Rattus norvegicus: one gene and its partner. The protein of the gene in region 2 purifies or fractionates together with the protein of the main gene of each other region. This does not show direct contact. Links are inferred from orthologs where the notes say so. Each region holds a gene or a part of one and is shown on either strand. Other genes may lie near its edges.

Region 1 (6,585 bases), on a different chromosome or scaffold from region 2:
TCACTTGTATACTGTACTCAGTGAAGCTCTCTGTTTTAGAGATGGGACGACTAATTCGTGTGGTAAAACTGAGTAAAAGTAAACAAAAAGAATTACACATTTTTCACGTCTCTTTGATAATGGCTATGGATGTTTGAGGGAAAGACCAGAAGGCTCCTGGAGAAAGGGTTATGTCTAAGGTCAGAAATGAGAAAAACACTCAGAGCTCGGAGCTGGGAAGGGAAGTGGGAACTGGAGGCAGTGGCAAAAGTGGAAGTTGCCTGATTGAATGACCATATGGGAGCTGCCTGGTGCCAGGAGCTTCATACAGTAGCCAGTTTTTTTTGTAACTGCTGCTGTTGTTTGTCAGTGTTGGAGACAGAACCGTGGTGCATGTGCTCTGCCAAGGAACTACATCTCTGGCTCAGTGTGCTGGCCTTAACCATTAGCGATCTATGTTACCTCTTAAGAGAAAATGATGAAGAATGAATATTATAATTTAAAGGCAAACAAAATCACAGTACTTGCATCCCAGCATAAAGGAATCATTCCAGTTCAGCTGAGGGCTGGCAACAGACACAGAGCTTTGGCTCAGGTGAGGCTTTGAACTTACAGATGGGGAGGGCAAAGCATCTGCATACTAGGGAGAGCTCTTACAGTTGGACAGTGTTCTACTTTCCTTTTCTGAGAGGCAAAATTACTACAGCAATCACTTCCATTTGTTGAATCCCATGAGGAAACTGGCATGGGACTGCTTAAATATTGTCATTTTATCAGAATTGTGGTCAGTGGACTTGTCTGAAATTCATGGTGGTGACTGATTAGGCATTACCTAGATAGATAAGCTCCCCTGTCTTTTTCCCCAACCTGTCACAAGCTAGTTATCTAGGAAGGGGGAGCTCAAGTGAGAAAACGCCTCCATCAGATTGGTCTGTAGGTAAGCCTGTGGGATTGTCTTGATTAATGATTGATGTGGGAGGGGAGGACCACAACTGGTCATCCTGGGTTGCATAAAAAACAATGCGGACTGACAAAGCCATGGGGCACAAGGCCATAATCAACATTCCTCCATGGCCTCTGCTTCACTCTCTGCCTCCAAGTCCCTGTCTTGGATTTCCCCAATTATGGACTGTAACCTGTAAGCCAAATAAACCCTTTCCTCCACAATTTGCTATTAGCCATGGTGTTATCACAGCAGTAGAAACCTGGTTAAAACACCCTTCTTCCCTATCCTGGGTCTCATGTGATTTCATCGAGCTTCCCTTTACACATGTCCAAGATCAGGATTTGACTGCTTCTTTTGATAAGTACTATCAGGGTATTGAGATGATTTTTTTGAGACGTTTTAGAATAACCTAAAAGTGTGTGAAATGCAGAACAAGATTGGTAATACATTAAGTATGGAAGCTGAGAGCTCTCCATCATCCTTGTGTGTTTGACTATTTCCATGATAAAGAAGCGGCAATGCATATTGATAGAATCATATCACAGTATGTCAAAAAGGAAAAAGAAATAGAAAAAACGATGAGGCCCATGAAGCTCATAGAAGTGGTAGAAGTGGCAGAAGTGGATCCATATTTTAAACTGAAGACCTGGGCCTTTTGTAAAGGAGACCATGAAGCCCAGCAAGAAGAGACACTAGCTGAATAAAGTGGGAAATAAAGCTGCAAAGCCACAAGCCCTTGGTACAGCAATCACGGTCTCACTCCTACCTTCTTTATCACTTCCTATAATATTACCATTATTTGCTAAGAATAGGAAATTTTAAAATAACTTAATTTTTAGACAGTGCAAGCAGTTGAAATTACTTACCAAGGCTTAAAAATAAGTATTCAATGCTTTAAAAATAGACAAAATCAAATACCAGACGCTGCTGGAATGAGGCACATTGCCTTGGAAACCAGGAATTAAGCAAGTGAACAAACACAAAGGAAGGATTCTATTCTTAGCAAATGCTTATAACTCAAGAAGGCAGGTGGGAGATTTTATCACATGCTAATAGGCCATGAGCTGCTGAGAAGACTGACTGAATTGCTCAGTGCAGGTCCTGGTGCAGATGAAGTACTCTGCTACTATTCTTAGTAACCTGGTGCCTGACTTTGTTTCCTTCTTTTTGGTATTTTTGAGACAGAGCCTAACCGCGTAGCTTCGGTTGGTCTGGAGCTTGCTATGTAGCCTAGATTAGCCTCAAACTCATAGAGAGTCTCCTGTCTCAGCCTCCTTAAGGTGTTAAAGGCGTGTACCACCATGCTTGGCCCTTCATTTTCAACTGAGTTTCTTGCAACACATTAGCATTTGTAATTTCATTTGATTTGGTAACATTCAGCCAGAAAGACCAGTCTTTGTATTACTGGTAACATTCACAATCTCCCAGGATAGGAGGGGGCCATTGCTTAATAAGCAATCTCCCAGAGTTTTTAGTTACTTGGAAAGTATTGCTTTTATTTACTGGTCAACTAACTCTAAGACAAGCAGAAAAACGTCTGCTTCTTTCTGTTTCAGAAAGATACTGTTTGCTCTCATGAGCTGACAGTGCACAAGGTAAACAAAGTAAAGTATTTGCCATTTTCACCTCCACATGCTTTAGTTATAGTTTAAAGGGACAAGGCTGCAGCTCAGAAACTACCTTTCCACATTATGGGCTGGAAAGATGGCTTGACGGTTAAGAGTAAATATTGGTGCTGCAGAGAACCTGTGCTTCAGTCCCAGCTTCCACATGACTTGTCTAACAACCTCCTGTAACTCCAGCGCCAGGGAGTCTGAGGTCTCTGGCCTCCACTGGCACCTTTTCTCTCTGGTGCGCATACCCACACACAAACCCAAACATATACATAATTAAAATAAAAAATAATCTTAAAAATTATAACATTACTAACAAATTGAAAAGAAAATGTTAGCAGCGTCACAGTTTGGGAGTCTAGTATTATATAAACTTATATTTCATCTTATATAACCAGGCATGGCCAAAAAAGAAGCAATGATTCAGTTGAATAGAAAGTATGAGCTTCAGTAATAATGGGGGGGGGATTTCCCCAGCATTAAGTGCCGCCACATACACACACTTGCAGCTCTAGACCCTACCAGATACATGTGTTGAGACATGCTTAGAGTAAGAAGAGTTGGGACTGTGAATAGACCTTCAGCTTACTTATTTCTGAGAGTCCTTAGGGTTTTTAAAATATAACTCTCTATAATATGTCATAGCATTGACTCTTTTAAAATAAGGAAATCAGTAATCTAGTAATTACAAGACAGTGATAATATTTGAGGCTTCCGATGCATAGTAGCTAAGGAATATGGATGTGTAAGTCATATCAAACTGCCTCTAAGATGGGGCTGGAGAGGTGGTTTAGCTCTTCTGGAGGATCCGAGTTTGCTTCCTAGCATCCATGTTGGGTGAGTTCACTACTGCCTGCACTCTAGTGTATCCAAAACCTCTGGCCTCTGCAGGCTCACATGCACCTACCTACATGCAGACACATACAGAAAACTGATAAAAACAAATTCTTTAGAGATAACAAAATTAGGATAAGAAAGGACTGAAAATACCTGAGTGAAATTTCCATTTGAATGTTAGAAAGTAAGAAAAAAGCTTTAAAAATAAAGGGCTTTTCTTAATTATACAAAAGAGGCCCACAGAAGTTCAGCTGCTCACTGAGTTGAGCTCATGGTGACTCAAACTGACCAAGACCCCATTGTGCTTCACAGGGCTACTGGGTCCTGAGGGCAACACAGACTTGCTCTGGTCCTGGCAGTGATAAGTTAATGAGCAAAGACAGACAACAGCTTCAAAACAAATACTTTTCTGAGGCCCATGTAATTTGAATGGAAAATAAAATGGTCATAATTCATTACCTTATATTTTCCTTTAATAATGCCTTCAAACAATCTTTCCTTGGTTCCGTAGAAAGGCAAACAGCCGCTGAGCAGGATGAAAAGAATCACACCGCAGCCCCAGACATCCACAGGCTTTCCATAAGGCTCTCTCTTGACCACTTCTGGGGCCATAAAGTGAGGTGTTCCAACGCGTCCTGTTATTTAAAACAGCAACATTATGGAAAACTGGTTTTGTGAAACGTGTTTTTTTTTTGTACTTGAAATCTGAAAATTAAAAAAGCAATTATCGGTTTGGATAAAAAATTTATCAATGTCAGTGTTCTATTACTTCCCTTTCTAACAGGAATTCATGGAAAGAAAAAAATAGTTTATCTGACCACTGGGTCAGAAAAGACTAGGCCAAGAACAGGGTCCCCTTCTCTGAATTCTGGACGTTATATAATAGGTCTTCTATTTCTTGCTCCTTGAAGAATTTTAAATGTTCCAATTTAGAGCAGAGCCAGGGAAGAGTGTGTTGCTAGCCTGTACCTGCTGGGACGAGGCGGAAGGCTTACCCTAAGGAGAGGCAGGGGCAGAGAGAGGGCAAAAGTAAGAAACAGCTTGATGGCAAAAAGATTACTTTTAACGGCCCAGCTCCTATTAGGTCAATCACAGCTAATCTCAATGGCTACTGGAATGGGAATCCTTAGCTTATTCCTAATGTTAACATTTGAAGAGGACAAGAGCTAACCGACGGCACACACTAAATTGAAATCAGGAACTCCTTCCCATGCAATCCTTTCACTCTCGTCTTCTTTGAAGATGTTTCTTTTTTTCCCCCTCCCTCTTAAGGGAGGGAACCAGTTTTCTAGAAGGAATCTGGTTCTGGCTGCTTGTACACTATAACTATCTTTCACTGAGTACCCTCGAGGTAGTCTTTTTCTCTGTGGAGGAATAAAAGGCTTCTTCAACTCTGCCAGGAAAGGACTTTGGGACAGGCCACTGCCTGACCAACTTGGCAGCTCTTCTACATTCTGCAGGCCCAGCCCTGGCCTTCCTTCCTGCTTCTTGTCCATCTGCATGTCTCTTCTTATGATCAAGCCAGGATGATTGTCACTTTGGAGATTGTAAAATACTTTATCTCACTGTGGTCTCATGTTTTAAAAGAACCTGAGAGACCTTTTAACCCATTTACAGAGAATATATTGCCAAGGCCTGTTGATGGTTATCAAACTAAGCTGGGGTGGAGAGGCTAGTTAGTTCCTCAGTCTGGATGACAGACAGCCTCTCCTGTGTTCCCTCCCATTTCTTAAAGGAAGAGATCAAGCTCAGCATTGGCTACAAGTCCTGATGAGAGAAAAAACAATTATTTTTGATTGTCTGATTTTACTTCTTCAAGCAGCAACATTGATTTTGCAGTATTGGGAGCTGAACTTTCCACTTCATTGGGAGCTTCTGTAATGCAGGGTCCCAGGATAATAAACATTGTTTTGATGGAGCTGTCAGGAGTAAAGAAAAGCAGGGCCAAGAGCTCAGGGTACCATTTGAAATACAGCTATTAGAACCCATTTGGTACCTGCTGAAAAGTTCTTTGACATGCAACTCCTACAACTTCCTACTCAGGTAGAGTGACTCATTGTGGGGGACCTCCTTGTGGGGGATAACTGAAACCTCCACAGTCAGGCCCAGCCGTCCTAAAGAGAAGACCGCCCCCACTACAGAGAAATTAGTGCTCTTTCTTCAGGAGGATGTATACTTTGAGTTCAAAATTTTTCTCAGAGGTGACAGAGAGATACAGTGGTGACTTTTTAATGTCAAGAACATCAGTAGAATTTGAAAAACTTCACTAAATTTCTTGTGTTTGCTACTAATTTTCTCCTCCTCCTCCTCCTCCTCTTCTTCCTCTTCCTCTTCCTTTTCTTCTTCTTCTTCTTCGTGTGTGTGTGTGTGTGTGTGTGTGTGTGTGTGTGTGTGTGTGTGACCACTTGACTTCGATCACAAAATTCTAAGAACAGGAAACCAATTACCAAACCAAACACATAACGTTTTTGAAATACTTCAGATAGGTACATACATATTTAAATGCTAATTTCAATGCAATAATAAACCTTTCGTCAAACTTCAGGGAGGGAGTTATTCTGAGTGGCTATGTTTTTAATATTTTAGGCTGTGAATCTTCATACATACAAGCACTGTTACCTTCTTCATTTTGTAGGCTTTTTACAATTTCCTGACTATTTTTACATAGGATGTTACACAGCATTTAGCCCTTTCGTGGTGAATTCAGTTGGTACCCTGGCTATCAACAAAGGAACTATGCTACAGAACAGATTGCTCTCTCAGGAGTGTAACAGGTATGTAACAATGGACCTCTGTGGCATCAGACAGCTCTTATGCACTGTTACTTGGCTTTCCTTTTCTTTCCTCTTACCATGCTTTCTCCAGTCCTGGCATCTCTTGATTTGTTGCTTATAATCTGCTACTGACTAGAAAATGGCTCGTCACTACAGTCTTTCATTTAAACATTTCTGGAGTGTTTGCCAGGCCCTAGCCGCTGTGATAGGTGTAGCAGATATTTGGAGGGATGAGCCATGGCTCTCTTACCCCTTACAAATCTCTTGTTTTTGCTGTTTGATCAAATGTTGTTAGGAAGCAGGCAAGCTAGATAGTTTTCATTAGATAGAAGAGGGGAGAGGTCACATAACTAGGACAGTTATGATATACTTACTTTTAAAAGGCAATAATTGTTAGCTTAGTCTTCAAGCAAACAGCTAAATGTGACAGATAAAA
Region 2 (6,030 bases):
GCTGCTGATGACAAAGAAATCATCCATAAGCCCTCATTTTACAAGACTCAAATGACAGCATTAAAAACCCACAGTCCTCAGCCAGAACATGTGCACACCTTACCTGTCTGCCACCATCATACCTGCTTACATACAGCTCTCCTGAGGAACAGGGTGGCAGCGCCTCCTGTCAATCCCCCTGGTGGCTCAGCCTTGCAAACTGCAGCTCAGGGAGGCAGGAGCCAGAGCTCTCTGCCTGAGGTTACCTGCTGCAGCTCTGCTTTCTGCACTCAGAGCTGGGACATTTCTCTTTTTCCTTTGAGTTGAAGCTGTATCACGGATGGAAACAATCTCAGGGTTATGACTTTCTCCCCAGCCTCTGCAAACTGTTAATCTGACTGCAGAGCAGGGGGCCTGACTCATAGACAGCAGAGGGCAGCAGGCTGACACCTCTGCTTGGCACCTGCCCTTTCCTCTGGCTACCCTGTCAATCAAAGTGGCTCAGGCTCTACACAGACACTTGTGTTTTCTTCCCTTTCGCCCTCTACCCTATTTGAAGCGTCATATCCTTGGGTGGCACTCGAGAGAAATCTAGAAAATGCGAGCTGTTTCTAGACATGTTTTCAGAGGGTAGAAAATTGATATTTCCTTTTTGTTCAGATTCAGGAGCTGTGCTAATCTTGATATTTTATGTAGAGAGTGTTTCAAACGTTTTTTATATACCTCTCTCCCTTCCAAACCAGGAGAAACAAACTGAGGATGATCTTCTGGGTCATGCTCACACTGAGTCATGACGACACTTGGCCATGCTGAACAAAATGCAGGTGACATCATCCTGCCATCCAGGGTGTGTTATATTAAGCAGCTCAGTGTTCAATTGGAGCTGGAGGTGACTTGTCCTTACTACTTTGGGGCCACAAAAGTGCCTTGTGCCACTCAATGTGGCATCTTGACCCACAAAATTACCACCGACAGACATCTTTAAGGAACTGACCTGAAGGAGGACTCCTGAAAGCTCGATGGGACCCCTTCATCCAGACACTAATGAAGCTCCACGGAGCCTAACCAAAGGCACACTTGGTAAGTGATAAGAAATGGCTTAGCTTAAAATGAGGATCTTTCAAAATAAACTGTAGACCCTCCCCTGGCTCCTACCAAATACAAACTCAATATAAACTGAAGAAAGCAAAACTCCTTTCAGAGCAGCAGTCCAACTTGCTTTTCAACTTGGACACCACAAAAAAAGAGGAGTGAAGGAAAGGCAACCGGACTGTGCAAGTTTTGAGTCCTAAAGGCAGCACTTATGGGTGGCGGAGTTGGTGCTAGGGGTGGGCAGGGTGGGGTCAGTGAGAGCCAGGGTGGGTGGAGGAACCTGTGGGGATGATGCTCAGGGATTTCCAAGGTAAAAAACGTTAACACCGAGGTGCAATTGACCTGTGTGGGATATGCCTGAGGGATGGCGGCTACACACTAGCACCTGGGGAGCGACAAGCTCAAGGCTATGCCCAAATGATTCCTACAGAGAGAAAAGGAGAACCCCTTTTGGCTATTGTCTACATCCAAAGAGAGACCCAAAGAGTCAGCCTTCATAACAGGGGAAATAAACCTAATTACTTAGAGATCACATCATGAAAAAGAGACACTAAGTCGCTAAATCGACAGCTTTGATTTGGAGCTCATTATAGTTCTAGAATTTCTGGCCAAGGCTGTGTGGGAAAGGTCAGCCCTTCCTAAAACCCTGTTGTGGTCCAGCAGTGGTCTGCAGGTCCTCGGGAAGGCACTGTGATGGAGGGAGGGAGCAAGGGCTTCAGTTTGTGCTTCTGCGTTGTTGTTGCTTGTCTTTATGTCATCTTCTGAGGTGGAAATACTTCTTGTGGCAGTCTTTCTCCACTCTTGCTGCTCACACAAGCAGTCCCATGCGAGTGACTTTGGCAGATAAGAATGTGTGCAATACAAACACAATCGGCTTTGGACAAGAATGCAGATCCATAGTCTGTGGAGAAGAGACAGGAGTCGTCACTGTAATTCTCTGTCTGTCTGTCTGTCTGTCTGTCTGTCTCTCCTATCCTTTCTTTCATGTACATATGGTGTTTGTCCTACATATGTCTGTGTGAGGGAGTCAGATCCACAGGAACCTGAGTTACAGAGTGTTATGATCTGCCATGTCTGTGCTGGGAATTGAACCTGGGTCATCTGGAAGAGCAGCCAGTGCTCTTAACTGCTGAGCCATCTCTCCAGCCCTACACACACTTTAGAGACAATGGTATTAAATATGTTTAGATGTGATGTCCCCCTTTCTTCTTTTTAAGGCAACCTCATACAGGCCAGGCCAGCCTAGAGCTTACTCATAGCTGCGGAGAACCTTGAACTCCTGACTTGCCCACCTGGATCTCCAAGTGCTGAGATTATCACAGGGATGCACTAGCACGCCCAGATGTACGTGGTACAGAGGATCAAACACAGGCCTTTGTGCATGCCGGGTAAGCAGTCTAGTAACTGAGCTACATTCTTGGTTGAGTTATAATTATTTATTTGTGTGTGTGTGTGTGTGTGTGTGTGTGTGTGTGTGTGTGTGTGTGTGAGTGAGAGAGACAAAGGACAGCTTATGGAAGTCAGCCCTCTCCTGGAGAATCCATCACAGACCATGAGGCTTGGTGGCAATGGCCTTTACTTGCTGAGCCTTCTCTATGGCTCTCTCCAAGTTCTCTGTTGAGACTGGGTCTCTCACTGACCTGGAACTTGCCACAAAAGCTAGGCTGGATGGCCTGCAAGGCCCAGGGATCTACATCCTGGCCTTCCGATGCTGGGATTACAAATGTGTGCTACATATCCAGCTTTTTTAATGTAGATTTTTCTGGAGGGGGTGGGGATTGAACTCAGGTCCTGATAGATGTAGAGCAAACACTTTACTATCTCCCCAGTTCTCAGACAAAACTTAAAAACTAATGAACAGGGGGCTGGAGAGATGGCTCAGCGGTTAAGAGCACCCGACTGCTCTTCCAGAGGTCATGAGTTCAATTCCCAGCAACCACATGGTGGCTCTTCTGGTGTATCTGAAGACAGCTACAGTGTACTTATATATAATAAATGAATAAATCTTTAAAAAAAAACTAATGAACAACTTTTAAGTGCTAATGGAATATCAAATGTTAGGCCATAACTTCCTACACAGGAGGTAAAAAGCAGTGACCGGCTGGGGGTGGATGCAGTTCGGTGGTAAAGCACTTGCCCAGCACACAGAGGCCTTCAAGACTCAGCATAATGAAGGAAAGCAATCAAGCAAGCAAGCAAGCAAGCAAGCAAGCAAGCAAGCAAACAGAAGCCATGTGAGAGACAGGACGCTAGTGGACACATTCATGCCGCCATGCTTGTGGTTTTCAGACACATTCTCACCAGTTCTCCCTCAGGACCACCAAAATCCAAGTAGAGATTTCTGATTCCATCATCAGCAGACATCTTCAGCCGTTCAAAGGGATAGCGGTACAATATGCTGCTGGTGCCGCCATTGTCTCTGGTGATCGTGAACCCGTGCTCATAGTGGACAGTGAATCTTACATCTTGGCCACTTAAGGTGCAGCCTGTCAAGACAAGAAAAACTCATATATAATAAAGATCCTATTTTACTTATCAAGTAGAAAAGGATTCTTCTGGTTCCAAACATAAAAAACAACCTTTTCTTGAGAATATGAGGCCCAAGCAGCTTACACTTTCCTAAAATAAAATTTAAAAAGACTTATTATTCTGCACGTGCTTTGACACAAAGATACTAAAACTGGAAGGAATCAGGAAAGATTAGCATGCTCTCTGCAAGGATGACATGGAAATTCATGAAGCAGTGGATTCATTTTAAAAAGGCCTGTTATTATTTTTATTAAGAGACTGTCCAATGCACCCCAAGTTGGTATGTCATCAGGTATCTTCCTGCTTATCTATTCCAAGTGGTGGTGGAGTATAAGCATGGGCCACAGAGCCAGGCAGAGTTTTCTTTGTGACACAAGATCTTCCTGTGTAGCCTTGGGAGGCCTGGGACTCACTATGGAGACCAGGCTGATCTGCAGTCAGGGATCCACCTGTCTCTGCCTCCAGAACTCGGGGATTAAAGGCACATGTCAGAACATTTGGTATTATTTGTAATTATATGCATAGATCTGTGTGGGGTATGTGCATGTGCGTGCAGTGTCCAGGAAGACCCGAGTGCTGTTGTTGGAGCTGGAGTTACAGTGGGTTGTGTTACCTAACATGGCTACTGGGAATTAAACTTGAGACCTTTGCAAGAGTGGTACATGTTCTGAACAACTGAGCCCAGGCTCCAGCCCCTAAAATTACTTTGGCCCAAGACAGCATCTTGCCTGAGATGAGGCGGGATAAGCCTACCTCTCCTTGACTTCCGTCTCCGTTCGACTGGATATCAACTGTATGTAGTGAGGGGGAGGCAAAGGGGTATTTTCTGCTCGCAAACACTTTATAAATCTCTAACCATATGAGATAGAATCTATAAAACACAATGACACTCAAAACGGAGCTAAGGCTGAAGTCAGGAAAAAGGTTTCTAGGATGGGAATTGAGATAAACCCTAAAGATAGACTAGCTGGGAGGTGGTGGCGCATGCCTTCAACCCCAGCTTGGGAGGCCGAGGCCAGCCTTCCCTACAGAGCCTGGGCAAGAAGGAAGGAGCAAAGGAGAGATACCCTCCAGAGTTGTAGTGTGCTGTGGTTGGGATCTGGGAAGGACACAACGTCTATTAGAAGTTTATGGTCAGTAAGAGTCATGAGGTGACTGCTAATCACAGAATACAACTGGGGCTGCAGACCAGCCCAGTGCAGCAGGCTCACCGAGCAGGAAGGAGGCCCTGGGTTTAATCCTCAGTACCACAGAAAATAGAACAAAACAAAACCCTTCCAGCTCTGCCGGCAGTGGACTGCAAAATGACTCAGTAGATAAATGGTGCTAATTACCAAGCTTACTCCATCCCTGAATCCACACGATAGAAGGGAGAGGACAGACTCATAAGTTGTCCTCTGAGCTCTGTCCTCTGATACTCTCATGAACTAATGTAATAAACCTGTAAAAGCTCAACCAACGACACATCTAAACTGAACAGGAACTCTGACCACCGGGCATGGGCACGGAGGCCTGTAATCTTAGCACTTCGCTGGAGAATCAACAGTCTGAGGCAAGCCTGAGCTCCAGAGCAACACTTAAACACCAGAGCTGAGCTCTGCTCCCATTTCAACAAGAATGGCTCTTGAAGCAGGTCATCATGTGTAGCCAATATACTCTCACCGGATATGCAAAGCATTCGATGAGGTAATGAAGCTGTATGCTTAGCAAACCAGGAAGGAGAAAAACAGATGAAACACTGGGGGCGTCCTTCTCTGCACCACGTGAAGTGAGCGGCGGACAACAGAGTACTAGTTATCAGAAAGCGGCCAAGGAGCAAACATGGGTGAAAGCAGTGAATGGCTGAGGGGGAGGAGGGTAACAGCCATACCCCTAACCAAGGCACCCACACAGTATGGTCCTACTAACATCTCTGAAGTCGGGGTGTAGTAAGGGGACTGGGGTCCATAGGGTTAGTTCTAATCTAGTTCAAGACAGCTCAAGTTTTTAAGAGTTCTGGCTATGGAAGGTGCCATTCAGGCAGGTGAGTCACTGCCAGGAAAACGAAGCCATCAACCCCACGCCAGGCTTGTGTGAGATTCTTCTCATATGGTAGGAAAGCACTGAGCCACCTTCCCCGGCCCCAAGATTTCCCACATGTTCTATTTGAACTGTGTTGCCTGAGGAGGGAAAGAAGGCAAAGCAAACACATACCTAAGAGGTACTTTTGAAAAACAGAATCTTGTTCCTGGCTACCTCAACCTTGAAAAGGGGCAGGGGAGGTCATACTAAGAATGTTTGCCTCTAGACACTGGGTGTTTATCTATTTTGTGGTATGTGTGCCTTGCACAAACACACATGCAAGCTACAGCGGGCATGTGCAAGTTACAGGCCAACTTTGGGAGTTGGTGCCCTCACTTGCCAAGTGGATAACGGGATGGAATTCAGGTT

The links.
Region 1: the proteins of Sntb2 (region 2) and Cask purify together in Homo sapiens (affinity purification with mass spectrometry; 3 studies listed by BioGRID and IntAct, with this or other methods). This does not show direct contact. The link is inferred for Rattus norvegicus from reciprocal best matches to the Homo sapiens genes SNTB2 and CASK.

What each region holds. Positions count from the first base shown.
Region 1 is NC_086039.1:11,797,357-11,803,941, reverse strand, and holds part of Cask (peripheral plasma membrane protein CASK), read right to left. Parts: intron 6,150-6,585; exon of another isoform or gene 6,044-6,149; intron 4,011-6,043; coding exon 3,835-4,010; intron 1-3,834. UniProt on the Homo sapiens protein: Multidomain scaffolding Mg(2+)-independent protein kinase that catalyzes the phosphotransfer from ATP to proteins such as NRXN1, and plays a role in synaptic transmembrane protein anchoring and ion channel trafficking.
Region 2 is NC_086037.1:51,819,676-51,825,705, reverse strand, and holds the end of Sntb2 (beta-2-syntrophin), read right to left. Parts: intron 3,827-6,030; exon of another isoform or gene 3,725-3,826; intron 3,558-3,724; coding exon 3,373-3,557; intron 1,973-3,372; coding exon 1,880-1,972; 3' UTR 1,834-1,879; downstream 1-1,833. UniProt on the Homo sapiens protein: Adapter protein that binds to and probably organizes the subcellular localization of a variety of membrane proteins. May link various receptors to the actin cytoskeleton and the dystrophin glycoprotein complex.